Linked DNA regions of Sus scrofa. The protein of the gene in region 6 purifies or fractionates together with the protein of the main gene of each other region. This does not show direct contact. Links are inferred from orthologs where the notes say so. Each region holds a gene or a part of one and is shown on either strand. Other genes may lie near its edges.

Region 1 (3,500 bases), on a different chromosome or scaffold from region 6:
ACATGGAGTGGCAGGGCTGGGAGGCACCTCCTGGCCTTGTTCCTGGTCCTGGAACAAAAGCTTTCATTCCTTCACCACGAAGCGTCTTGTGAGCTGTGGGTTTTCACAGAGCCCTTTATCAGGCCAAAGAAGTTCTCCAGTGTCTCGTGTGTTGAGTGTTTTCATCATGAGAGGGTGTTGGATTTCGTTAAGTACTTTTCTCTGCATCTATTGCAATGATTGTGCCCGCTTTCTTTCACTAATTCTATCTCAGGGGTGTACTGCACGGGTTGATTTTCAGATGTTAAACCTACTGTGCAGTCCTGGGAGAAATTCCACCTGGTTATGGTGTATAATCTTTTCATGTGATGCTAGATTCGGTTTGTGCATATTTTGAGGATTTCTGAGTCTATATTCCTAAGGGTCATTTTTCCTGTGGTTTTTGTATGTGTCCAGTTTGGGTATCCGTGTAATACTGGCCTCAGAGAATGAGTTGGGAAGTAGTCTCGAATTTTTGGAAGAGTTTATGAAGAACTGGTATTAAATCTTTAACTCTTGGGTCAAATTCATCTGAGTGGGCCTGGGCTTTCTTTTAGGTTTTTAAATTACTAATCCAAGCTCTTCATTTGTTACACGTCCTCCCAGACGTTCTAATTTTTTCTTTGTTTTTTGAGTCAGTTTGGGTAGCTCGTGGTGTCTTTTTAGGAATTTGTCCACTTCATCTACTTTATCTAATTTGTCGGCATACAGTTGGTTATGAACCGAACTGCGTCTCCTCCCGCCCCTCCCCCGGCCAAAATTCCCATGTTGAAGCCCTAACCCCAAACATCTCAAAATGTGGCTGTATTTGGAGATGGGACCTTCACAAAAGTAATTAAGTTAGAGCCAGGCCCATCAGGTTGGGCGCTAATCCAGTCTGACCAGTGTCCTTATGAGAAGAGATCGGGGCACATACCAGGGATGTGTTTGCGCAGGGAAAAGCCCCGGAGGACATGTGTGTATACACCACATCTTCCTAATCCAGTCGTGTGTCGATGGACATTTGGGTTGTTTCCATGTCTTGGCTGTTGTGAATAGTGCTGCAACGAACATGCAGGGGGCATGTGTCGTTTTCAAAGAAAGTTTTGTCCGGATATATGCCCATGAGTGGGACTGCGGGGTCGTACGGTCGTTCTATATATAGTTTTCTCAGGAACCTCCATGCTGTTTTCCACAGTGATTGTACCAATTTACATTCCCACCAGCAGTGCAGCGGGTTCCCCTTGCTGCACACCCCCTCCAGCACGTGTCATTTGTAGACTTTCTAACGATGGCCATTCTGACAGGTGTGAGGCATGTGAATTTCTAACAAGCGCCCAGACGATGCTGATGCAGCCGGTCTGGGAACCACACTTTGAGAACCATGGCTTCAGACATCCCTCCTCCCCACCTCTGGCCTCTCTCCCCATCCCCCTTGTCCCCCTCCCTCTCGTCCTAAATAACACCTACTTGTTCCTTTCCTGGCTGAAATCTAGTCAGTTTTGCAGACAGCCTTGCCCCATCTCAGCCCTGCCCACGCTGAGTTCGACCATCGTCTGTGCCCCGAGGGGCCGCCGTTTGTCCCCACCAGGCCCTACTGTGCCACAGTCCACACCTGCTGCCCACCGCACGGCGGAAGTGGACTAGAGAGTGGTCACTGTCGGGGTTCCCAGAGCCACCCACCCACCCAGACCAGCAGCCTAAGCTGATCACAGATTCCCATTTCCCGTAGAACGTCGGACCCAAGGCCAGCGAATACGTGGGGCGAGTGCTGAGGGGCTCCCGGCTGGACACAGCCTTCCCGCCTCCCCGGATGGGGCCGGGAGTTGAGCTGGGACCTGAAGACAGACGAGAAGCACCAGGTGAGTCACTGCCCCTGGGGCCCGGAGCCCCGAGCCCTGGCTCCCTGTGCTGCGAGCTTGAGGTTCCTTCACCGGCTCGGCCAGGTGCGCACGAACCCCGCGTGCAGACTCCCCGAACCCAAACTACATTTGCACAGCGAACGTCTCAGCCCCTGTCAGAGCAGCTGGGCTGCAGGGCAGCCTTCCTGGCACCCTTCAAACGCCGTAAGTGGCAGCAGAGCCGGGCTATGCTGACACATCCTTCCCGGCAAGGCCCCCCAGACGGCATCACAACACACCCCTCTCAGGATACGCCTTTCCTTGTATTAGTGCTGCATTCTATGTCCCTGTCGCTCAAACTCCTTCCCCTCGGCCAGAGGTCCCAGGTCTTAGCCACAGCGCTGTGTGAACCTTGTCCCGGGTGAATTTATTTCCTGGGCGGTTGATAGCCTCCTGGGTTCCGTGTGGATGTCGGTCCCTCCTGAGACCCCGTCCCCCCAGCCATCCCGCAGCCGCCCAGCCTGCAGGGGAGCGGAGTGGTGTGGGGCTCAGGGTCCTCCAGGGCCAGCCGGCTCGGGTCCGAGAACCAGCGCAGCCATGTCTCAGCTTGGGCGAGAACTAGCGTGTGAAGTGGGATAGTGATACCGTTCATTCACCACCGGGTTATGGAAATTCAGTGGGAGTTCCTGTCATGGCTCAGCAGGTCAAGAACCCAACTAGTTATCTATGAGGACGTGGGTTCAATCCCTGGCCTCGCTCAGTGGCTTAAGGATCCAGTGTTACTGTGAGCTGTGATGGGGGTCACAGATGCGGCTCGGATCCCGTGTTGCTGTGGCGATTGTGTAGGCTAGCAGCTGTAGCTCCGATTCAACTCCTAGCCTAGGAACCTCCATGTGCTGCAGGTGTGGCCCTAAAAAAAAAAAAATCAAATTAAAGGCACTAAGCATCAGGCCAGCACAAACTCAGGAAGTGGGGTCTATCTGGGGTCTTTTTTGCCCCTTGTTGTACCATCTGTGTGACCCCATGGGGGGGGGGTCACGGGCCAGGGAGCTGAAGGGAGGACTCGAGGTGGAGGAAGGTCTGACTCCCACAGAATGTAGAAGCCAAGCTTGGGGCACCTCCTGTTTGCTGCCCCAAGGAGAGGACCTAGGGTGTCTCCCCTGTAGTGATGAACAGCTGCCCTCCGGCCTGGGGGTGGGGTGGGGGGAGGGAGTGGAAAGTGGCTTTAAGGTCAGTCCGAGGGGAGCAAAGCCCCAAGGGCAGATGGAGCGCCTCCAGCCCTACAAAGAGGAGAACAGGGCAAACCCAGCATCCGCAGGAAGGAGGGGGCCCGGGCTGGGCGTTTCCCCTCAGCATCCATTCAGCAGCCACTGCTGCCGCCGCCGCCGCCGTTGTGCACAAGGACAACTGGATGGGACAAGGAGCAGTTCACGGCCATGGGTGGGGGTGGGCAAATAATTCAAAACAACGCAACTGTAACACTGGAGGAACACGCCAAGTTACAGGATCTTAGAAGCAAGACCCGTCCTTGGCCGGGCCCATCAGGAAAGCGTGACAGGACAGGCAGGGCTGCAGTGACTTGCTGGGCGTGGTTTGCTCGCCTCTGTTCCCAGCACCTGCCACAGCGTGCGGCCTGGCAAATGTGCTCAGATCATTTGTTTG
Region 2 (2,214 bases), on a different chromosome or scaffold from region 6:
CGAACCCAAGTCAGATAAGAACACAGAGAAAACAGAAGTGAGAGAGGCCCAAGGCCTGTGGACAGCGCTGGTCATACTGCATCCTGCCTGGCCCACCCCCCAGGGAGGATCCCCTCAAGAGGACCCCCCCTTCCTCCTCCCAGTTCCTCTTCAGGCTCCTGGGGGGTGCCTCTGCCGCCCAGCCACCCCCCCCCCCCACCCCCGGCCTCCACCAAAGCAGCCCTCCCTTCTTGGGGCCAGCAGAGGAGGGACAGTGCCGGGACCCAGGTCTCACCACTCCTGCAGGGTTCGGGCAATGGCACTGAGGTCCTGGCGCTGGATGTCCCGCCCGATGCTGTAGTCAACCTCCAGCCGCTGGTTGCGCTGGTCCAGGGAGCCGCGAAGCACGTCGGCGTACACGGCCTCGATGACCAGGTCCTCCAGCTGCCGCACGTTCCGCAGGGCCAGGGCCTCCAGCAGCACTGCATATGGGATACACTGGGGCCCGGAGGTCGGGCTGCGGTCTGTGAGGTTCCGCACAGAGAAGGGCTTCCAAGATTCTTCTTCCCTCCTTCCCCCACTGCCCGCCCTCCAGTCCTCCTCCTCAATCACTTTCCGTAAAAGGCAGGTTCTAAGGCAAAATAAATGAAAGTATTCCCACCTGATAAATAACATCCTAAGAAAGAGAATCGTTCACATTTATGTATTTATGACTGTTGTTGTCTTTTTTGACGGCCCCACCTGTGGCACAGAGGTTTCCAGGCTAGGGGGCAAATCAGAGCTGCAGCTGTCAGCCTACACCACAGCCACAGCAACCCCGGATCCGTGCCGCATCTGCGACCTACACAGCAGCTTGTGGCAACGCCAAATCCTTAACCCACTGAGCATGGCCAGGGGTTGAACCTGCATCCTCACAGACACTATGTCAGGTTCTTATGCCACTGAGCCACAATGGGAACTTTTTTTTTTAATATTATTTTCCTTTCTGCAACTTTTTTTTCAGGCACACCCACACCATGGGGAAGTTCCTGGGCCAGGGATCAAACCCGAGACACAGCAGGGAACCAAACCTCAGCACTGGCAACGCCTGATTCTTACCCTGCAAGGCTACTGGAGAACTCCAAAAAGGACAATCTTAAGGAAAACATTTATGCTCCCCTCAATGCCCAGCCCACCACAGGGTGACATCTGCCTGGGTGTCAACCCTCTGGCTCAGCTCAGGACAGTACACGGATGTGGTCAAGACGAGCTTGACCTACGGGACGCTGTGGTGGAGGAGAGGCTGGAGCTCTTCTGTTTATCATTTATACACGGTCTCCTTCCAAAGAGGCAGTGAGCCTGATTTAAGCCAAACCATGGGGATGATGGGAGAGTCAGGGAACAACTGGGAGATGCAGATGGGCAAACAGTTAACAAGAATGGAACCCAACAGGAAATACAAAGATGCTTCTGGGTTATGTATTTTTTATTCAAGCAAATAGAAGCCTGCTACGTCACCAGGAGCGAGTGTGTCCCAGCTCTGGCCACTGCAGCTGCTTCCACGGACTTCATACAGTGGGAGGAATGGGCTGAGGAATAACACAGTGAGTGGCATCCTAGCTGCTATTCTGACCTGACACACAAAAGATGTTTTACTTAGAACATAAGTGGGTTGAAAAACAAAATAGAGGAGTTCTGGTTGTGCCACAGCAGAAATGAATCTGACTAGTAACCAAGAGGTTGTGGGTTCGATCCCTGGCCTTGCCCAGTGGGTTAAGGATCCAGCGTTGCCATAAGCTGTGGTGCAGGTCACAGATGTTGCTCGGATCCTGCACTGCTGCGGCTGTGGCACAGGCAGGCAGCTGTAGCTCTGCTTCGACCCCTCACCTGGGAACCTCCATATGCCGTGGGTGTGGCCATAAAAAGCAATAAAAAAAAAAAAAAAAAAAGAAAAACAAAATAGAAAGCTGGGAGAATAACGTTCCACCTAAAGGGCCACAGGTATCAGAGTAAGACACAGACCTTGGAGGAATGTGGGGAAACAGGAAGAAGCACCACTGTGGTCAAAGCTGTCCCAGTGCAATTCCCTTCAGATGGGCCCTTGTGAAGCCGACACAAAAAAGTGCTCCCTGGCTCAGGACTGGGGGGTCTGTCACTCACCTTGACCTTGGCAGCCAGGGTGACAACTGACAGGTGTCTAAGCTTATTCTTCTGAGCCTCTGTGAGTGGGGGAAGATTCCGGGCTTCAGCTAGAAA
Region 3 (4,178 bases), on a different chromosome or scaffold from region 6:
ATAACAGAAATGAAAGGAAGCCCCTTAGACTATCACGATGCCTCTGCCAAACATTTCACATGAAATGCTTCTTAAACATAAGCCATACCCAGATTTCACACTCTATTTCTGTGACTTGGGGATATAATCTCCTGCTATTTCAGGCTCTGGAATCCAAGAACTAAAAGAAGAAAAATGCTAAGGAACTAAGGAAATTCTGAAGGGGAATCTGGGCCCAAGCTAAACTTGGCTGCTGGAAAAGAGAAGCCATAATTAGTGCAGAACTTTAAAAACAAACAAACAATAAACCAGAGGCAAGAGGATCCAGCTTCATCTGGAATTGTGTCTGCCCCTGGTCTTTCTCAGTGAAAAGGTCTGTGGATCAAAGCGGACTAACTGAACATTGGGATATGTTTGGATAATCAGGCCAAGTGGAAAGATACTTGCTATGGGCTTCTTCTGTGAAAGGAGAATCATCTTAACATAGGATGGAAGCTATGATGACTGCAGCTGGCGGTAAGCTTGGGACTGTCCTGCCCCAGAATCCATCGGCCTAAAAACTTTACCTGGCTGCCCTAGGTCTTTGCTGGGTTGCTATGTCTTACCATTTAGGCCTTGGTGCTGACGTCATCTTCTCAAAGACCTTCCTGGCCTCACTACCCAAAGTGGCCTAGTCACTTTCCCTTTGCTCTGTTGAATTTTCTTTATAACCATCACTCACCCATCTTTTTTTTTTTTTTTTTTTTTTTTTTTGTCTTTCTGCCTTTTTCTAGGGCCACTTCCCACGGCATATGGAGGTTCCCAGGTTAGGGGTCGAATCGGAGCTGTAGCCACCAGCCTACGCCAGAGCCACAGCAACGCGGGATCCAAGCCATGTCTGCAACCTACACCACAGCTCATGGCAACGCCGGATCCTTAACCCACGGAGCAAGACCAGGGATGGAACCCACAAATGAACTGGTTCCTAGTCAGATTCATTAACCACTGAGCCACGACAGGAACTCCCCCATCTTTTGCTTGATTGCTTACTTGTTTTTATGCAATTGCTGTTTCTCTCTTCCCCTCCCTCACTCCAAACTGTTCACTGCTATTGGGCTGCGCTATCCAGTACAGTAACCACTAGCCACACATGGTGACTGACCTTTTGAAATGTGGCAAGTCCAAATTAAGATGGGCCATTTGGTACATAAGACACACTGTATTTCAAACTTAGTACAAAAACAAAAATCTAAAAATTTTCAATAATTAATCACTACATGTTGAAATGATATTTCATATATGCTGAATTGACAAAGATAATTTTAAAATTACTTTCAACTGTTTCAATTTTTAAAAATTTTTTTTTAGCACTGCACCTGTGGCATATGGAAGTTCCCAGGCTAGGGGTCGAATGGGAGCTACAGCTGCCAGCCTACCACAGCCACAGCAACACCAGATCTGAGCCACGTCTGTGACCTACACCACAGCTCATGGCTCCGAGCGAGGCAAGGATCGAACCCATGTCCTCATGGTTACTAGTCTGGATCATTTCCATTGAGCCACAACGGAAACTCCCGGTTTCAATTTTTTTTAAATGCAGCTACCACAACATTTCAAATTGCCTATAGTGGCTCACAATATATTGCTATTGGCCAGTGTTGGCCTAGGGAGTGCCTGGCACATAGTAGATACTCAATAAATATCTGAATGAATAAATACATTCTAACCACTGCTCTGAAGATATCTAACTGTTGTCCATTGTGATCCCATTACAATGGGCTTTATTCAGTTTCAAAAGAACTTGGCCCTTTTTTTTTTTAAACCGTAGCTTGGCAGCTCTCAACAATTCTGCCCACATCCCAAAACACAGTCATCAATCATGAGGAAAAACCCAGAACTGGAAACAGATTCCTGCTAAAAAGGGAGGCTAGCTCCATATCACTTTCAGATATAACTAAAAGGAGTCAATGGAATGACAGCGGAAGCTATAAAAAGATTCAAAGATTTCAGGCAAACAGTAGGGGCCATTTAAAAAGTTCTATGGGTAACACGCTCACTGAAAAGAAAGCCCTTATCTAGATAGGAAGGCTGAGAGAACTACCTCTGCACCTAGCACTGAATGCCTGACTCCAGCAAACAAAGAAATGTCATTTCCCAAATTAAAAAGTTAACACCACCCCAGGGAATACCCCGATTTCAACCTACCATCCCCCCTCCATCAAACAAGCCAGGGAAAAACACAGACATCCACAATCAGAATCCTCCAGATCAAGATGAAGCTTGAACTTCACTGGAAGAATTAAAAGGGTTTCTGGAACAAATCCTGAGCCCAGGCCTGACCCCTTCTGAGGATTTCCCCTAAAGAAACTTTGCCTTTAAGCACGGGAGTATTCAAGAGCTGGAACTCCCAGAATAAATCACAAGCCCACCCCAAATTTCTATATTAGTGGGGTTTAGGGGTAATGTGGTTGGAAGGAAAAAGCCTGAAGGGCGTGCCTTTGCATAACAAGTACACCATCCCCACTGAGACTGTTCTTTCATTTGGGCTGACCCTGCGAGGGTATCCAATATTCTCTAACTTTGATACCGCTTTCTGATGACAGCTGTTAACAAGAATAGAGGTAAGCACCTCACTCACCGGTGTTTCCTAAACTTGTCCCATCATCCGTGTCACCAGGGATCAGCATCCCAGTTCCACCCCCACCTCGACGAATCAGTCTCTACTGGGAGAGGCTCACAATATATTTTTTCAATACGGACCCCAGACCCCATTTTTATGCAAGTTTGGGAAGCCCCCAACCACCCCCTAAGGCAGATACTATTATTAGCCCATTTTGTAGATACAAAACGGACTTGGATTAAGTGGCTTGTCCACAGGCACACCGCTTGGAAGGGGCAGAGCGGACTCTCATCCAGACCTACAGCGCGTCACCTGGCACCTGGGCACCCACATCCTCGGGTATCACTCCCCACGTCCCACTCGGACCGAGGCGTCGGGATCCCGGCGCCCCCCACTGTGCCAGGGGGGTGGGAAGCCGCGCCACGCAGAGGCCCGTCCTCCTCCGGTCCAGTCGGCGGCAGGAGACGGGGTGGCGGCCTCTGACAGCGAAAGCGAAACAAAGCTGGGCGCCGGGCGCGCACCCCGCCCAGGAGACGCGGACAGCCCAGGCCCCGCGCCTCCGCCGCCCCCGCCCCGACCGAATCCGCGCCCGCGCCCCACCCCCGGGAACGGGCCCGGCTCCGTCGGCGGGGAACGCGCGCCACGGCCCCCACTCACCTCCGGCCTCCATGAAGGACATGCGCGGCCCGCGGCAGGCGGCGGGCGCCTCAGCCCCCAGGGCCACCGGCCCTCATGCCGCCGCCGCGCCACCCGCCCCCGCCCCGGCCCCGGCCCCGGCCCCGGCCCCGGCCCCGGCCCTGCAGCCGCCGCCGCGCCCGCCGCCGCCCGGAGAGGCCATCAGCTGCTTCCCGTCACATGGCGGCGGGCGCGGGCGGGGACGCGCGGGGGCGGGGCTGGGGGCGGGCGGGAGAAAACCCTGGAGCCAGCTGCGGGAAGAGCGGGGGCGGGCAGGTGGAAGCAGGAGGGTTCGGCCCTGGGCGGGGGAGCCGGGCTGACGGGAAAGGGGGGGCAGATGGAGGCCGACGGGATCGGCGCGGGGAGGGGGAGTGGGTCTGATAGGAAGATAGGGAAGGAACGAGGAAAACGGGGTTGGGGGGTGTGGAGTGGATCTAACCCGGGAAGAGGCGGGGGTTGCTGGAGGAAAAAACGGGGTTGGGGCGGGCAGGTGAACTGGGGCAGGAAAAAAATCGAGGGGAGGGTCGGGGAGCGGGGCTGAGGGGAAACGAGCTGGAGGAGAAAATGGTGGGGGGAGAAACAGGGGGCGGAGGGTACACCGGTAAACCTGGGAGGAGCCAGGCTCAGGGAGATCGCAGGGATGGGGTAGAACCCGGTTGGGGGAGAGTTGGGAGGAACAGAGTGGGAGGGGAGTGACACGCGTCTGGTAAAGACTGAAGATCGAGGGAGGTGTGGGTAACAAAAAAGGGGATGTACGGCGGGGCTGAGGGGAAAACGAGGGAGGGACTACGGAAAGGCACTGGAGAGCTGAGGAGGAAACTGAGGGTGATGGGGCAGCGTGGAAAGGGATGGGAATCAGGTAAAACGGAGGGGCGAGCAGGCAGGAAGGAGGACCTGAAGACACCGGGGATCGGAAGAATCGAGA
Region 4 (4,089 bases), on a different chromosome or scaffold from region 6:
ACACGATAAAAGGCCATGCAACGACTCCTGTGTCTACGAGGCTGGGGAGAGTCAGGTGTCCCAGGTACCTGCTGCGGAACAGGTGAGGCAAGACTTCAATGCGAGAAATAACTTGCCTGGCCCAAGGAAGGGTGTTGGATACACGCCCTTCAATGGGAAGGGACCTCCCTGCCACTGGTCATCTGCTCCTGGCCAGACTGACCCCGAAAGGTTAAGCCAAGCACAAGAAGCTCGGAGATGTACTGACTCTTAACAAGGAAAGAAAAAGATACACGCATCTGCCACAAGGGAATCAGAGATCAAAAGCTCCCCAAAAACACAAAGCAAATTCGAGATGCGCCGAACGCTGAGAACTAACTGCTCCAGTTAGGAAGCCTTCAGGGCAGCAGAATGAAGTACCCTCAGACCCACCCACCTCGCCCTGAGAAAGGGCACTGGCCCCGGAGCCTCCGAGCTGACGCCCTGACTGCATGTGCCACACATCGTAACCTCCAGGACCCTCGCCGCCCTGCCAGCCCAGGGGCTTCCGCACACTTCTGGCAGCTGGCCCTCCCGCTGGACCACCGTGCTTCTCCTCGGGCGGGACTCAACACGTCACGAGAAGAGCGGCAGCACACTGCCCCCGAGAGCAGGGACAGGAGGCCGGGCCACTCGCTCCAGCTGCCTCGCTGCGCCCGGCTGGAGGCAGCTCAGACCCAGGAGTCCTCGTCCTGGGAAGCCGCTGAGGCCCTGATGGAGCCCAGCCCCCCTTCAAAGCATCCCCATCTCTGGGAAAGCAGCTCAGGCGCCCACCCCCCGTCTGACTCCAGAGGACCGCTTGACTGTGGCGGGCAAGGGACCGACTCAGCCCCCCAAGGCCTCCCTCTCACACCCTTGGGGGCCTCACACTTCCTCGCCCTCCCTACAACACCACCCAGCGCTCCGGTGGGCTGGGCCCTCCAGACCCCTGCCCCTCGCTCCGTGCTTAGCAGGAAGGGCGCAGGGCCGGCCCAGGTAAGCCGACGACTCTGACGCGTCCTAAGGGGAGAAAGGGTCAAGAAGCACTGGCCACACGCTGGCGGCCAGAGCCCAGGAATTCAGCAAGCAGCGAAGGCTCACAGCAGTCAGGCAGGACTGACCAGACTCTGAGCGACAAAGCTACAGAGGAGGCGGAAGACCGGACTCCAAGGAGTAAAACTCCTCGCAAAGACGGCCCTTCCAGGAGCCCGACGGCCCCCCGGGGGACCCACGTCAACTGCGAGAAAAGAGAGGACCTCACACTGGTGCCAGAGACCTGTAGCTCTTGTGTGTTTTGGCTGCACGGCCAGAAACGTGGAAAGAACGTTTAACCCCGTCCGGATCGGGCGTTTTCGTCCAGCCCAAGGAAGGGATGCCTTGAGCCAACGGCCTGCTTTGAGGACGCCCAGCTGTGCACACCTGGCACACCTGGTGAGGCCCCGCGACCAAAGAAAAAGCCCTTCTTCCTCAGGAGTCCCTCGGCCAGATCTCTGCCCCCACGACGCCGCGGGCCCCAGAAGGGCCTCGACAAGCTCGAGCCGCAGCTCCCCCGCCCCGGCCCGAGACGCGAGGCGGACGGCAGGTCGCCGGGCGGAGCCAGGTGCGCGCGGCGGCCCGCCGGCCGGCCTTACCGTTGCTGTAGGCGTACGGAGACTCGGCTGCGCCGTCCTGCAGGCTCTCCAGGATCTCGCCCTTGCCCACGTCGCTGTCGCCCACCAGCAGGAACTTGAGCAGGTAGTCGTAGCTCTTGACTGGGCTGCCCTGCGTCCCCATCTTCGCTCACGCGCGCGCGGGCCGCACCCGCATGCCCACGGCGCCGCGGAGCCCGCTGGCGGAGGCCTCCGACCGACCTGCGTGCGCGGGCGCGGGTGAGCGAGGCCGGCGGACGGCAAGGCCGCTCCGCCCGCACCTGCTCCACCGCCCCCGCTTCGCTTCCCTTCGCCTCGCCTCAGCGCCGCCGCCGCCGCCCCGCAGCTTCCCGCACGGCGCCGAGCAGCCCCGCCACCCCGCCCCGCCCCGCGCGCCACCATTGGTCGTCCGCCGCACCCTTCCCGCGGCCATTGGCCGCTGCGCATATCCGTCAGCACTGCTAGCGCCCCTGCCCCCGCCCCCCCAGCTTCCCATACAGCGCTGCGAGACCTCGGGTCGTTCCTCCCCATCATTGCCCCGCCCCTACGCTGCTGCTGTACGTCGCACGCCGCCTCCCGCGCGGCCACTGGCCCGTGAGCACGTCCATCAAAGCTGCCCCGCCTCCATCGCTTCCCACTCAGTTCTGCGAAGACTCCAGTCGCCCCGCCCCGCCTTCACGCTGTTGCCATTGGCCCCTCGCCTCTCGCTTTCCGGGACCCTCTGATCCGCCTGCCTGTCCGTCAGCATTACGCCCCCCACCCCCCGCCGATTCCCGCAGAGCATCCGAGACTCACCGGCAAACCTGCCCACTGCCCCCGCAGCTCCTGGGCCCTAACACGCCCCCTCCGCTTCGCCATTGGCCACCGCAGCCGATCCTCCCAGAGCTACTGGACCACCTACACGTCGCTCATGGCCCTCTAAGCCCGCCCATCTTGCCCCCTATACGCTCACCAATCAGAAGCTTGGACCTCCAGGTTGTTTGCATACACCCCCTTACTTCCGCGGACTGAGCGGGACGGTGGCGGTCCCCGTTGTGAGGTGACGCGGGTGACTATGGCAGGGCTGAACCTCCTAGAAAGCTGCGGCCGCAGCTTCCGCAGAGACCCGGGCGCGTACAGTGCGGCCCCCCGGAAAGGCGCCCTCCCCACGGAGGGGGCGTGACGAGGGCGCAGTGAGACAAGATCCACCAATCGGCGCTCGGAGCGGCCGGGTAGACGGGACTTCCGTTCCCGCGCCGGGGGCGGGGCCGGGGGATGGTGAGGTGGGGGCGGGCGCCGGGTTTCTTGTGGGGAAGGTGGTGAGTGGGGGCGCGGGTGAGGGGCGGGGAGACGAGGCAGGGCGCGAGGGTAGGGACGGTGAAATGAGGCGGTGGCAGGAACTTGGAATTACCTGGGTCGGGGCGCAGGGGCAGCGAGGTGAGGCTTGGTTGCAGGCGGCGAGGCGGGGACTCCAGCGCAGCTCTGTCCCCGCCCCTCGCGTCTGCCCCGTTCCCTGGGCAAGTCTTGCAGGTGACAGCGCGGCTCTCAAGGCCGCTGCAGAAAGGGGGTCGGCCTGCATGTCGTCCTCTAGCCCCAGAGACGACGGCAGCACTGGCTGTGAGCCGCCCACCCTGGGAAGAGTCGGGGTCAGGCCAGGTGGGGCACCCAGGAGGGCCCAGGAAGAGGGTCCGGGGGAGCCTGTAGGAGGAAGTGACTTTGGGTTGTTTACAGAATGGATAGGTTATGAAAAGGTGTGAACAGTTGTGAAGATACAATTTTATTCTGCAAAATAGAAAGTAAAGCAAAATATACCCTCTTCACCCATTAGATTGGCAACATTACTTGTGGCACCTAGGATGTAGGGTGACAGCTCTCTGGCAGGGAGGTTGGACAACTTAGTAAGTAATTCCATATTTCATTTAGTCGGGAGAAGTTCTCAAAAACAAGCTCATGAATTTCACTGTTGGAGTTCCCACAGGGGGTTAAGAATCTGATTGCAGCTGCTTGGGTCTCTGGGGAGGAATGGGTTTGATCCCCAAACTGGCACAATGGGCGAAAGATCCCGCACTGCTGCAGCTCACAGCTGTGGCTCAGATTCAGTCCCTGGCCCAGGAACTTCCATGTGCCACAGGTGTGGCCATAAAATTTTTTTGGATTAAAAAATAAAGAATTTCACTCTAGGAGTTCCCCTTGCGGCACAGCGGAAAAGAATCCGACTAGGATCCATGAGGTTGTGGGTTCGATCCCTGGCCTTGCTCAGTGGGTTAAGGATCCGGTGTTGCCGTGAGCTGTGGTGTAGGTCACAGGCATGGCTCAGATCCTGCATTGCTGTGGCTCCTATTCAGCCACTAGCCTGGGAACCTCCATATGCTGTGGGTATCGCCCTAAGAAGAAAAAAAAAAAAAAACAAAGCTTGTGCGTGACTGTTCACAGCGTCATTAATCACAATAGCCAAGAAGTGGAAACAACCCAAATATCCACCAAC
Region 5 (4,156 bases), on a different chromosome or scaffold from region 6:
CCCTGTTCGGTCCCCATAGCCGGACTGAGGACGCTTTGGATTGGGCTTTCTTGCTAAGACTGTTCGGCTCTTGGGGGCAGGGGAGCCCTTTTCTACTCATTTTTTATGTTTAATCATAGACACATGCGGTTGGCTTTAAACTTGTCTCTAAACGTTTTCTACTTTCCTCAACAGCTCTGGTCTCTGGCAGGTGCTGGACAGGAGAGGCTCCTGAGTCCACATGGGAAGGGGTGGGGGCTGGTGAGACCCAAGCTGCCATGTGAACGGCTGGGACTGGCACACCTCTTCATAACGGGCTTTCCAGAATCATGAGGTCATCAGGGGCGTTCCCGTTGTGGCCCAGTGGAAAACGAATCCGACTAGGAAGCATGAGGTTGTGGGTTTGATCCCTGGCCTCACTCCGTGGGTTACGGATCTAGCATCACCGTGAGCTGTGGTGTAGGTCACAGACACGGCTTGGGTCTGGAGTTGCTGTGGCTGTGGTGTAGGCCTGCTCCAATTTGACCCCTAGCCTGAGAACCTGCGGGTGCAGCCCTAAAAAGCAGGGGGGACAAAAGTGAAGTCATCAGGGCTCCCCTGTGGGCCTCGAGGTTGCAGAGGTTAAATGTGAGGCCCAGGGGTAGATACCTAAACTCCAGAAAAGTACCCCAGGCCCGGTCCCCTTCCTGCTAGGCTACACTTCCACCCACAGTAACAGAGCTCTTGGTCTAGGATCTTGCATGGGTTTGATTATCCCCATTTCACAGATGAAGAAATTAAAGTTCATTGAGTCCATCAAGGCAGAGAAAGGGGAAGAAGCCCCCAGCTGGCAGGGAGAGGAGCTTCCAGGGGACAGAGGCTAAGGAATTGCCCCATCGCCCGTCAGGGTGGATGTGGTCCAGTCGGCGGGGGCGGGGGGGGGGGGGGGGCAAGAGCCAGGCCAAGCCGCGGTCTGACCCAAGCTCAGGGGGGCCAGGGGACACCTGGAGTTCGAGACCCCTCCACTGCCGCAGAGAGTTGGGCAGGGGTCCGGCCGCTGTGCGCAACGGGCGGAGTTCGGACGGCGCCCAGCGGCCGCGGGCGGGATCGCAGGGTGGAGCCAGGCCGGACCGGGAAAGGGCGGGCCAGCGAAGGGCTGGGATCCCGGTGGACTGCAGGTCGGCGCCCTCCATTCTCCAGGGACCCCCGCCGCACAAGATACCCCCAAATCGCGCTCCCGAAGGCGCTCGGTCCTCCCGGACGGCAGAGGGCGCTGTCACCCCGACTCTCTTTCCTGGGCCGGAGGGACCGGAAGTGCAAGTGCGAGAGTCACTTCCGGCGCGGAGCAGCGGGTTGGGCTGTGTATGAGGCCGGGTTCGGGGACTGGACCAGTAGTGGCCAAACCTGGCCAAGACCGCGGCTGCCGGAACGCTCGCAGTCGGCGTCTCGGCCTCAGCGGAGGGTGCGGCCGCCGCAATGCCGTTCCTGCACGGCTTCCGGAGGATCATCTTCGAGTACCAGCCGCTGGTGGACGCGATTCTGGGCTCCTTGGGGATCCAGGACCCTGAGCGGCAGGAACCCCTGGACGGGTAACTCGCTCCCTGCCCCCCTCCGACTCGGCACTGCTCCCCCTTCATTGTCACGACAAACATGGCGGGGCGGGCGGTGTCCCCACCTAACAGATGAGACCGAGACGCGCTGGGGGAAGGGTGCTCCGGGCCAGCGCCCGGAGGGCTGGAGGGTGCGGTGTTTGCAGGGCCTTCGCCTCAGGGCCCCACCCTGCACCCTGCCTGTCATGTGCCCTCCACCTGGAGTTGCAGGGCAGCCGGGTGGCATCTGTGAGCAGTGCGAAGTGAGCTTTCTGTAGCCGAGTTTGCAATTGTACATCCAGGCGCGGGTCTATCCGTGAATCTCTGGGAAGGGTGTTAGAAAGTGAATCGTTTGCGGTACATCAGTGAGCTAAACAAACTCCCAGCCTTCACGATGCTTATGCTCCAGAAAAGAGAGACTGACAATCGTTAGTAAAGTGTTTAATGCCTTAGGTGGAACAGAGGAAAGAGGGATCAGGTGTCTGTTTCTGGGATCAGCTGGAATTGGCGGGGAAGCTGGGTGGGTTGGGGCAAAGGTGCAGAAGGCTTTGCTGCTCTCAGCCTTTGGAAGACGGGGAGGCTGACTGACTTTGGGTGTGAGCAGGCAGGAAGTCTGCTGACTGCCCTGGGCTGGTCCCGCAGTGTCTGGTTCTCACTCTTGGCCACAAGGGTTCCCTTCAGTGCCAACAGTCCAGGTGTATGAGGCTTTGTATCCATGCCAGGGGCCAGATTCTCTGGGCAACATGGAAGGAGGCCGAAGACAACCCCTGTCCTTTCTTGGTAAACCCGAGGCATCTGCTCCAGTAGAAGGATCCAGCTTGGCCCTCTCTCTGCCACAGACCTTTTCTGAAGAGACTTTCTGCCCTGCCTTGGGGGAGTGATTTGGGGGGAGACGGGGGGAATGACATCAGGAGACCAAAGGCCACCCACCCACAGGGTGCCCAGCCAGCTGGTCCCACAGCTGTTCCCACCCTCAACTAGTCCCCCCTCTCCTGCCCCAGACCCAGTTATGTCGCGAGTGAGGAGAGCCGGATCCTTGTTCTCACTGAGCTGCTGGAGAGAAAGGCCCACTCTCCCTTCTACCAGGAAGGCGTGAGCAACGCCCTGCTGAAGATGGCCGAGCTGGGGCTGACCCGTGCCGCTGACGTTCTCCTGCGGAATGGAGCCAACCTCAACTTTGAAGGTCAGCTGGAGCCCAGAGGACCTGGGGTGATAGGTGGCTTAAGTGTGGCCCTGCTCTGGATGGGCGACCAAGCCTTCAGGCTTTTCTCAGGAGCTACTTGCCTCATTTATTTATTTCATGGGTGGTGACCAAGGACAGCCACACTGGGTGGCCTCCCGTCCCCTTGTGGGCTTTCAAGTGGCCCTTAGCCACCTCAAGTCCAAGAGCGAGTTTGTCGCTGTTTCTACCATGAGATTGACTTAGCAGACTCCTCCCAGCTCCCAGCTAAATCGCTTCCATTAATGTGAAAAAGTGGCTGCTGGCACTGTGCCCAGAGCTAAGTAAGGAAAAGTAATTTTCTGCCACTCATTCTGAGGCATCTTGCATTTTTGTTCCTGTCATAGGGAGAGGGGAAAACGGAGAAGACACATTAAGCATAAATCACAGCAGAACCATGCTGGCATCTAGCTTGTGTGCTGGGGGATGGAGACGGGGCCATTTTCGGGGGGGGGAGGTCAGCCAGGAGACTTGCAGACCCTGACTTATAGCCACAGGGGTTTATTTATTTATTTTTTTTTCTTTTTAGGGCTGCACCCGTGGCATATGGAAGTTCCCAGGCTAGAGGTCAAATCAGAGCTTTAGCTGCGGGCCTATGCCACAGCCCCAGCAACGTGGGATCTGAGCCAAGTCTGCGACCTGCAGCTCACAGCGATGCCGGATCCCTAACCCACTGAGCGAGGCCAGGGATCAAACCCTCATCCTCATGGATCCTAGTTGGGATCATTAAAAACTGAGGTTCCCCCGACACGGGGGGGGTTTCATGGTGACACAGGATGTGGCCAGGATGTCCCCCCTCCCCGGCGTAGGACAGGCTCTGAGGCTGCTGGGCTCCTGGAGGTTCAGAGAGCTGGGGTGGGGGAGGGATTTCCCTGGTAGTCCAGTGGTCAAGATTTGGCTTTTCCACCACCGTGGCCTGGGTTCAGTTCCTGGACTTGGAACTGAGATCCCACATCACAGTGACCATTAAAAAAAAAAGGAAAAAAAAGTAGCTGAGGGGGCCAGGGTGGTGGGGTGCATTCTGAAGTCAGTCGCTTGGAGACCCAGCTTGGAGAACCTGGTTTTTATCGCAGGGCTGAAGGAGCTGTCACTCTGAGTGTTCTGCCCAGCAAACCCGTTTTGGGTCCCATTTTACAGAAGAAGAAACCAAAGCCCAGATGTAGCACCATGTCCGTTAGAAGGCCCCCAAGACCTAGGCCTGACTCCAGAGCCTGGGCTCTAGCACCGGCTGAGGGCAGCTGTGTCCTGCCCCCTGGTGGTGGCGGGAGCCCGGGCCTCCTTCCATCAGTGTCCCAGAGGTGCTGGGACCTGTGAGAATGTGCTGTCGGGCAGGCAGGGCTGACTGGCTGCGTCTGCGCCTTCAGACCCGGTCACCTACTACACGGCTCTG
Region 6 (3,500 bases):
TTGCGGGTTTGGTCCCTGCCCTTGCTGAGTGGGTTAAGGATCCGGCGTTGCCGTGAGCTGTGGTATAGGTCGCAGACACAGCTTGGATCCCGAGTTGCTGTGGCTCTGGTGTAGGCTGGCAACTACGGCTCCAATTCGACCCCTAGCCTGGGAACCTCCATATGCCGCGGGAACGGCCCAAGAAATGGCAAAAAGACAAAAAAAAAAAAAAAAAAAAAAAAAAAAAAAGAAGACAAAGGCACATTTGATTGAATGAACAAATGAAAATATCACTGGCAGACACCGAAGTCTGGAGAGGAATATACTCATGTTATTAACATATCTGAAATATAAGTACAAAACCAGATACCACTTACAAGCTATAGATTCAAATCTACATTTCTCTAATCTAGGTTGCTAAAAAGATTAACTAGCCAAGAAATTAGTGTAATGAAGAAAATAAAATATTAACCACATGAATTTGAATTCTTCTAAGTTTCATTAAAGCAAGATACAATTTGTGTACTCTTAAAAGCATGTGGCACTAAAAGCAGATGTGACTATATGCTAATAAACATAACATCAATAGCACTATTCTGTAATTGTCTTAGAATTTCCATGAAAAAGAAATTTGATCATAAAAGTTCAGAACATACCATAGGATTCTCTTACTCCAATGACAAGCTGAGAATCAAAAGCTTCCCCTAATCTTTCAGCATGTACCAGCTTCATTGCACTATCTTGTAGTCTGTTTTTTATATTTGAAAAGATTGACTCATTCCACGTATCAAGCATGAGCTAGGAAAAAGAGAACAAAATGTGTGATTGTTTCAATTATTAATATACCAAATACTACATATATACAAAAATTTTAAGTACAAACACTAAAAAAGGAAATAAAATTCTTAGACCTACATTCAACTGAATACTATAGGAAAGTAGTATATATAAAGTTGGTAAGTAACATGGTAAATAATGGTAAAGAAGTGTTTCTGCATCAAACATAACAGGATTTGAATTCCAGCTGTTATTTACCTGCTTTCTCATCTATAAAACAGTGAAATTAACAATACAAATCTCAAATGGTTGTTGTAAAAATTAAATATAGTTATACATGGAATATGTTACTTTCCCTATAGTTCCAAGGTTGAATTTCAGAAATATGGATACATGTTTGGAATGCTCATATGTATATTTGTACAAACATGATAAATGTGAAAAGGAAAAATTGAAAATATGTTTGACACTGAATTGTAGAAAGAAAAGAATAGGGTTCCCCTTTGGCACAGCAGGCTAAGGATCTGGCATTGTTACTACAGTGGCTTAGGTCACTGCTATGGTGCAGGTTCCATCCCTAGCCCAGGAACTTTGGTGTGTCACAGGCACAGCCAAAAAAAAAAACAAACCAAAAAAAAAAAAACCACCTTACAAATGTTTTATTTAAATGATGAAAATAGCATACACATATTAATGAGTGTGCTGTCCATATTAGTACAAATGTTAAGGCCAAGAAGGGGCAACAGCTTCCAGGCCACTACCTGAGTGACTGAGTTGGCTGCTAGAGTCATCACAGCAAGCAGTGAGTTGTTTTAAGTTCGAATGGCATTTTTTACTTTTAAAAGCTGTGGTTCCATTTGGTTCTCACAAGTAGGAATACATACACACATATGATAAATGAGGCCAGCATGACTAGATCATTATTGACTGATGAGTTGAAAAGTGAAACTTGGGACTCTTCAATTTCTTTCTATTAATTAGTTGTTAACAGAGCTTTTAACTAAAAACTATGTAAAACATGAAAATTAACATAGTACATATTGAGTTTATTAACTAGAATCAAGAAAAAAAGAAAGATGACAACAGTTTAGTCACAATTAAATATAGAGATACCTGGAGGTATCTTCCTCATAAAGGAAGATTTTTTTTGAATAGAAAAAAAAGTAATTTAATTTATAGGAAGGAAAAAGTGCAAAGAAAGAATAAGGAAATAAGGAGTTCCCGTCATAGCTCAGACTAACGAACCCAACTAGCACCCACGAGGGCATGGCCTTGGCCTTACTCAGAGGATTAAGGATCCGGCATTGCCATGTGCTGTGGAATAGGCTGCAAATGCAGCTCAGATCCTGCATTGCTGTAGCTGTGGCATCGGCTCCAATTCAACCTCTAGCCTGAGAACTTCTATATGCCAATAATATGGCCCTAAAAAAAAAAAAAAAAAAAGAATAAGGAAAAAGAATACTAAAGATAAAACCAGGAAAAGCAGAAAGGAAAAGGAAATGCAAAGGAGGTACTCTCTGAAGACACAGATCTACAGCTTAAGACCACATAAAAGATGAAAGGGAACTGAAGCTAAAAATAGATGAAATAAAATTAACATTATTCAATAAACCCAAGAGGAGCTGAAAAGGAATTTATATGTGAAGCAGAAAAACCCATTTAAGTGTACATTATTCCTGAAAAGTTTTCAACTCACCCTATTGCTGAAGAACATTAGGGAAAAATGAGGAACTTGACTTACCTTTCGAACAATACTGTCTTCTACATTTGATTTTTTATTGCTGCCCTGTTTACCCATTAAAGTAATCTCTAGCTGACAAAAAGGCTTCGGTAAAATATCACACTGTGTAAAGAATTTTCGCCATTCAACAATATAAGCTTTTAGTAAAGCTGTGTCATCTTGATGGCTCAATACTCGCTGAAAAAAAAAAAAAGAATTGCACCAATTTTAAATAAGTACTTTAAAGATTAAAAACATATTCAAGCCATATATTTAAAATATTTTATTTACTGTACAATCTGTATTATACCAAAAGAAATTAAAACATTTTTGGTAAATCCATTTATGACAGAGAAGTCAAACAACAAATGTATATATATCCATGAGAAATTAAAACATGTTCATATAGTCTTATTGTGATGAACATTTCTCAATATATGCATATATTGAATCATGTTGTAATCTGAAACAATAAAACCTTGTATGTCAATTACACATAAATTAAAAAATCCTATGTCATTTGGCTACTATTTTCCTATTCTTTCCCCTTCTGGCTCTCCCCTCCCCACCCAGGCCTAAGCAACCATTAATCTATTTTCTGTGTCTATATATTTGCCAATTTGGGACTTTCGTATAAAAGTCATGTAATATATAGACTTCTATGACTGACTTTTTCCACATGACATAGTATTTTCAGGGCTCATCCAAGTTGTAGTATGTCAGTACTTCGTTCCTTTTTATCTCTAAATACTATTCCATTTTATGGATATACCGCATTTTGCTTATCTATTCGTCCAATGATGAATATTTGGGTTATTTCTAACTTTTGGCTATCATAAATAATGAAATATACATGTACAAAAGAAAAAAGTTTACAAAAAATTTGTGCACACTCACCAACAATAAAAAAGAGGGGACTCATATAAAATCAGAAATGAAAGACGAGACATTACATCTGATACCACAGATATACAAAGGATCGTAAGAGGATATTACAAATATCAACAAATCTAACAACCTATAA
Region 7 (4,028 bases), on a different chromosome or scaffold from region 6:
GCTGAGTCACAAGAGAATTCGTAAGACACTGCTTTTGGGGGGTTGGGGGGCACACCTGAGGCCTATGGAGGTTCCAGGCTAGGGGACGAATCAGAGCTGCAGCTGCCGGCCTACACCACAGCTACAGCCACACAGGATCCGAGCCCGTCTTTGACCCATGTCACAGCTCATGGCAGCGCTGGATCCTTAACCCACCGAGCAAGGCCAGGGATCAAACCCGTGCCCTCATGGATGCTGGTCGGATACGCGACCGCTGAGCCACAAGGGGAACTCGCTGAAACTGCTTTTTAAGTGAATGTCATTACTACAGTAAAGTAGTAAGATTCATCACAAGAGTACTTACCGACTTTATAGCGGGTGGTATTCTTTTCCAAAGGTATCTTGCATTATTCCTAATTTATATCCCCCAAGAAAGAAGAAGCAATTTAGAAAAATCATCCTAGTAAATGTCTAAAATTCTAGATCCCACTGCAAACACACACAAGTATACTCTGAAATACTCTACGTTAAACAGGGTGAAATTTAGTTGTACATGACTTTGTCCAGGTGAAATGAGAGCGGTTTCCCAGATAAAAAGACATGAAATATTTTACCAAAGTAACATTTTGCCATTTTTAGTGAATTTTTAAATTAATAATCCAGATCTTAAATTAAGGTTACAGTACAAAGACTTAAAGAGGACTACCTAAATAATTTAGTCATATATAAAAATAAACAGATTCATACACTTTCAAGGCACTGCTGTTCCCTGACAGTATACAGGTACACAGTGCTTTTCTCCATCTCATGACCCTTCCTCCTACCAGTGGCTACAGAGCCACCACACCTTCAAGGCAGGATTTTTTGGTTTCTTTTTTTTTTTTTTTTTTTTAAGAGTTTGGAATCTTGAACGATAACAAACATATAATGACATGATTATAAAACAAGAAACATAATTTATACAATAGATGAGTAATAAAAATCTCAGTTTAGTTTAAAAGATGCCAAATAAGAAGGTTTACAAGAATTTTAAAACAAAACTGAACAGTAATCATGGCTTTCAGAACATAAGGACTCTTTTTTGCGCAGTTATACTGACTTGTCTTCAATGAACGTGAATGAGGAATAATTAAAAACAAAACCTTTCAAGAAATCGCATACATGACAGTAACAAATTCCTCTTAGCTCTCTCAATTTTCCCTTTCGGTTTCTCTTAGTCTATCGATCACATGTGACATTAAGTAAACAGGTCATAAAAGACAGACATTTCATAACAAAACAAAAGAGAAGAGACTAACAGATTTAAAGGAATTTACTGACACTGTAGTTCATCGTAACAGATTGAAAAATTTTAAGAAAGATATAAGAAAAGAAGTGCATTTTAACTCAGCCTAATCACGATTTAAGCCATGATTCAGTATATGAAATAAATATACTATTACAATAAAATGTAAAGCTCCTTCTGTCTATGTTTTAGTGATGCTACTTCAACGCAAGAATAATTTCTTCAGGAAGCTGTTTCTCTTAGCTTTAGGTAGAAAGTACTTACATGTCATTATGGAGCAGATATAAAGCTAGAAGCTGACCATACACTGGAGGTGTAGCAATTCCTCCTGGAGCCTTTAAAGCCAAAAACAAAAGAGAAAAAGCTCATTTATTTGTATACTTTTGTATTTTTCAAAGCATCTAAAAAGTAAGCATATTTCATAGTACTTACCCTTACAGATGGAGAAAAAGAGAGTGTCACACACTAAAAGCCAGAGTGATAAGTTTAGATCTGTCACCAGCTATGAATTATCTCCCTCTGGGCCACTGAGTTTATATATGCACGGGAACATTTCAGTGGGATCCCTTTCCCAGTTCTCAAATTCTTATTTAAATGGCCTTACTGTTACAAGAGTATTTCCCACAGATTCCTCAAGTATGATGATTCTGCCCGTTACACCAGGTATGTTGAAAATCTAGGTAAGTGAGTAACGAAGAGAGAAATGTCACAGCTGAATGACGAAGACGTTTCTCTCCTTGTTCAACTTTATTCAGAAAATCATCTGTTAAGTGTCTATTAGTGAGCTGCTGCTTCTGGCAGTAGTCTCTTTGGGTTAATTAACTTTTTATACTGATACTGTACATGCTTGTAAGTGCCTTTCTAAGAAAATTAAAAAAAAAAAAAAAACCCTTACTGTTAAGACCTTCGTGAAATAATTTCACCAGTCCTAATGAAGCTAAGACGGCAAGCTTCCGCGACATGAGACTAAGGACTTTCCGAGTTAGGAACAGGCTACAACGCGCACACAGACTCCCTCACCTCTCCCCACGACGGGGAGGAAACATCTTTAACCCGAGAAGCATATTGGAGAGTGTTAGGAGCAAAGACGCACAGCATTTTCGGGCTCACTGGCTGAAGACAAAACAACAAAAAGCCCCCAGCAAGTTCGGGGAGGCGAGGCCTGGATGCTCAGCCAGGAGCAGGCCCGGCGTCCCGGGCTCCACACGCCCGGCCCCGCGCCCGCCCCAGCCCGGCGGGCCCTGGGCCTCGGGCCCCGTTACCCTGGAGACCGGCGCCGCACAAGGCCACGCGCGACCCCGAAAGGCGAATGGCTACCTCCAGCTCCTGGTTCTCGCACTGATCCAGCAACTTTTTGAAATTAAAGGCACTTTCCGCCATCACCGCCACTGGCATCTTCCCGGCCGGTCCCGCCGCCGTACCTCCCCTTCTAGCTGGACCCCAGACTTGTCCCTCCGGGCGTCGCGCCCGCGATGACGTAAAAGCCGCCGTCGCCGCCGAGCTCCCGTGCGCAGGCGCATCATCGGTTCCGGCGCGTCATTAGACGTCGCTGCGGCCTGGCGGGGTCGCTGCCGCTCTGGCCCGTGCACTCTATGTCCTGGAGGACTCGCCTGGCGTCTGGGGACGCGGCTTTCGGAGCCAGGGAGGGCGGGGACTGGGGCCGGTCTGCGGACTCTTCGCTGCCTTTACTCTGAGGCCACGGAAATTTTAAAGTTCAAAACCCAGCTTTCGGTTCCTCCCCCCGCCTCCTCCTTCAGCAGCCCTCCCGCTTCGGTGCAGGCGGTGCGGTCCTTCCTGGGGGCTCCCCTCCTGCAGGCCCCCCATCCGAGAGCGGCTGCGCCAGCGTGGACCACCCGACAGGGCCTGAGCTCGGTCCTCTCCGGACCTCACTCCGCCTCCCTCCAGGCTACTCCCGGACAGCCACCGCAGCCAAAATGATGCTTTTTGAAACCTAAGTCGTCTTGTTATTCTTCTGCTCAAATCCCTAACAATCCAGAGTCTTTGGCATCGCTCACAGATCAAATCCCCAGATCCCTCCGACTTGCTCCAGCCATCCTGGCCTCCTCAGTTTTCTGCGCAGTCCTAACGAACGTTGTATGGTGCGTTATTTATTTATACTTTGGTTTGCTGCCCTTGCCTAGGCCGCCCTGCTGCAGGGTCAGCCGCAGGATTTGTGAGCCCAAAGCAAATTGAAAACGCACATCACTAGTTCAAAAAGCAGAAGGGAAATTACCCGTAAAGGCTATAGAATCTAAAGCTTTTCCCTTATTCCGCAGTGTTTCAACTTTTCATAGCATTCTAAAGTTTGCTATTTAATATTCTAAGAAAGGGAAAAAGCAAAAATTTCAATTATTAGCATGCATCTTACCATCTGTCTTTATATTATACGAAGCCAATTTTAAAGGCGAATATAAGTGCATTTAACTCATGTGGAATCACAGAAATCACACAATTGGTAGACGTAACACTTTGTTTGTACTTAAGCTGGGTCTTGCTGAATTCCTATCATTTGGGGTCGACTGGGAATTCTGCATTCATGGGGTATTTTAAACACTGTGGAGGGCAGAAAACGCATACCTCAATCATCTCTTTGAGTGTCTGTCCTCCCTATGGACTTGCCAAACCCATACTCGAAGATAAAATTATTTAGGATTCCAAGACAGTGACGGTTTCACTGATTATTTTTGTAGAATCAACACTTTCCATGTGGAAATGGTTGTGTTTAGTTATGCTTCAGATAGAACATAGAGATAAGAAAAGCACT

The links.
Region 1: the proteins of CUL5 (region 6) and ASB13 purify together in Homo sapiens (affinity purification with mass spectrometry; 4 studies listed by BioGRID and IntAct, counting the BioPlex papers as one, with this or other methods). This does not show direct contact. The link is inferred for Sus scrofa from reciprocal best matches to the Homo sapiens genes CUL5 and ASB13.
Region 2: the proteins of CUL5 (region 6) and COPS7A purify together in Homo sapiens (affinity purification with mass spectrometry; 3 studies listed by BioGRID and IntAct, with this or other methods). This does not show direct contact. The link is inferred for Sus scrofa from reciprocal best matches to the Homo sapiens genes CUL5 and COPS7A.
Region 3: the proteins of CUL5 (region 6) and WSB2 purify together in Homo sapiens (affinity purification with mass spectrometry; 3 studies listed by BioGRID and IntAct, counting the BioPlex papers as one, with this or other methods). This does not show direct contact. The link is inferred for Sus scrofa from reciprocal best matches to the Homo sapiens genes CUL5 and WSB2.
Region 4: the proteins of CUL5 (region 6) and RAB40C purify together in Homo sapiens (affinity purification with mass spectrometry; 5 studies listed by BioGRID and IntAct, counting the BioPlex papers as one, with this or other methods). This does not show direct contact. The link is inferred for Sus scrofa from reciprocal best matches to the Homo sapiens genes CUL5 and RAB40C.
Region 5: the proteins of CUL5 (region 6) and ASB6 purify together in Homo sapiens (affinity purification with mass spectrometry; 6 studies listed by BioGRID and IntAct, counting the BioPlex papers as one, with this or other methods). This does not show direct contact. The link is inferred for Sus scrofa from reciprocal best matches to the Homo sapiens genes CUL5 and ASB6.
Region 7: the proteins of CUL5 (region 6) and COPS8 purify together in Homo sapiens (affinity purification with mass spectrometry; 3 studies listed by BioGRID and IntAct, with this or other methods). This does not show direct contact. The link is inferred for Sus scrofa from reciprocal best matches to the Homo sapiens genes CUL5 and COPS8.

Annotation. Positions count from the first base shown.
Region 1 is NC_010452.4:65,285,464-65,288,963, reverse strand, and holds part of ASB13 (ankyrin repeat and SOCS box protein 13), read right to left. Parts: intron 2,628-3,500; exon of another isoform or gene 2,264-2,627; coding exon of another isoform or gene 1,730-2,263; intron 1,059-1,729; coding exon 935-1,058; intron 1-934. Other genes in the region: uncharacterized protein LOC106505208, read left to right, coding at 1,730-2,263. UniProt on the Homo sapiens protein: May be a substrate-recognition component of a SCF-like ECS (Elongin-Cullin-SOCS-box protein) E3 ubiquitin-protein ligase complex which mediates the ubiquitination and subsequent proteasomal degradation of target proteins.
Region 2 is NC_010447.5:63,972,257-63,974,470, forward strand, and holds part of COPS7A (COP9 signalosome complex subunit 7a), read right to left. Parts: intron 2,208-2,214; coding exon 2,119-2,207; intron 478-2,118; coding exon 275-477; intron 1-274.
Region 3 is NC_010456.5:34,608,152-34,612,329, reverse strand, and holds the start of WSB2 (WD repeat and SOCS box-containing protein 2), read right to left. Parts: upstream 2,801-4,178; 5' UTR 2,646-2,800; coding exon 2,597-2,645; intron 1-2,596. UniProt on the Homo sapiens protein: May be a substrate-recognition component of a SCF-like ECS (Elongin-Cullin-SOCS-box protein) E3 ubiquitin ligase complex which mediates the ubiquitination and subsequent proteasomal degradation of target proteins.
Region 4 is NC_010445.4:41,157,297-41,161,385, forward strand, and holds the start of RAB40C (ras-related protein Rab-40C), read right to left. Parts: upstream 2,801-4,089; 5' UTR 2,612-2,800; coding exon of another isoform or gene 2,578-2,611; intron 2,538-2,577; exon of another isoform or gene 2,421-2,537; intron 1,848-2,420; 5' UTR 1,771-1,847; coding exon 1,629-1,770; intron 1-1,628. UniProt on the Homo sapiens protein: RAB40C small GTPase acts as substrate-recognition component of the ECS(RAB40C) E3 ubiquitin ligase complex which mediates the ubiquitination and subsequent proteasomal degradation of target proteins.
Region 5 is NC_010443.5:269,831,407-269,835,562, reverse strand, and holds the start of ASB6 (ankyrin repeat and SOCS box protein 6), read left to right. Parts: upstream 1-1,356; 5' UTR 1,357-1,434; coding exon 1,435-1,547; intron 1,548-2,548; coding exon 2,549-2,730; intron 2,731-4,130; coding exon 4,131-4,156. UniProt on the Homo sapiens protein: Probable substrate-recognition component of a SCF-like ECS (Elongin-Cullin-SOCS-box protein) E3 ubiquitin-protein ligase complex which mediates the ubiquitination and subsequent proteasomal degradation of target proteins.
Region 6 is NC_010451.4:36,450,806-36,454,305, reverse strand, and holds part of CUL5 (cullin-5), read right to left. Parts: intron 2,675-3,500; coding exon 2,498-2,674; intron 778-2,497; coding exon 636-777; intron 1-635. UniProt on the Homo sapiens protein: Core component of multiple cullin-5-RING E3 ubiquitin-protein ligase complexes (ECS complexes, also named CRL5 complexes), which mediate the ubiquitination and subsequent proteasomal degradation of target proteins.
Region 7 is NC_010457.5:136,826,994-136,831,021, reverse strand, and holds the start of COPS8 (COP9 signalosome complex subunit 8), read right to left. Parts: upstream 2,801-4,028; 5' UTR 2,660-2,800; coding exon 2,582-2,659; intron 1,600-2,581; coding exon 1,529-1,599; intron 393-1,528; coding exon 344-392; intron 1-343. UniProt on the Homo sapiens protein: Component of the COP9 signalosome complex (CSN), a complex involved in various cellular and developmental processes.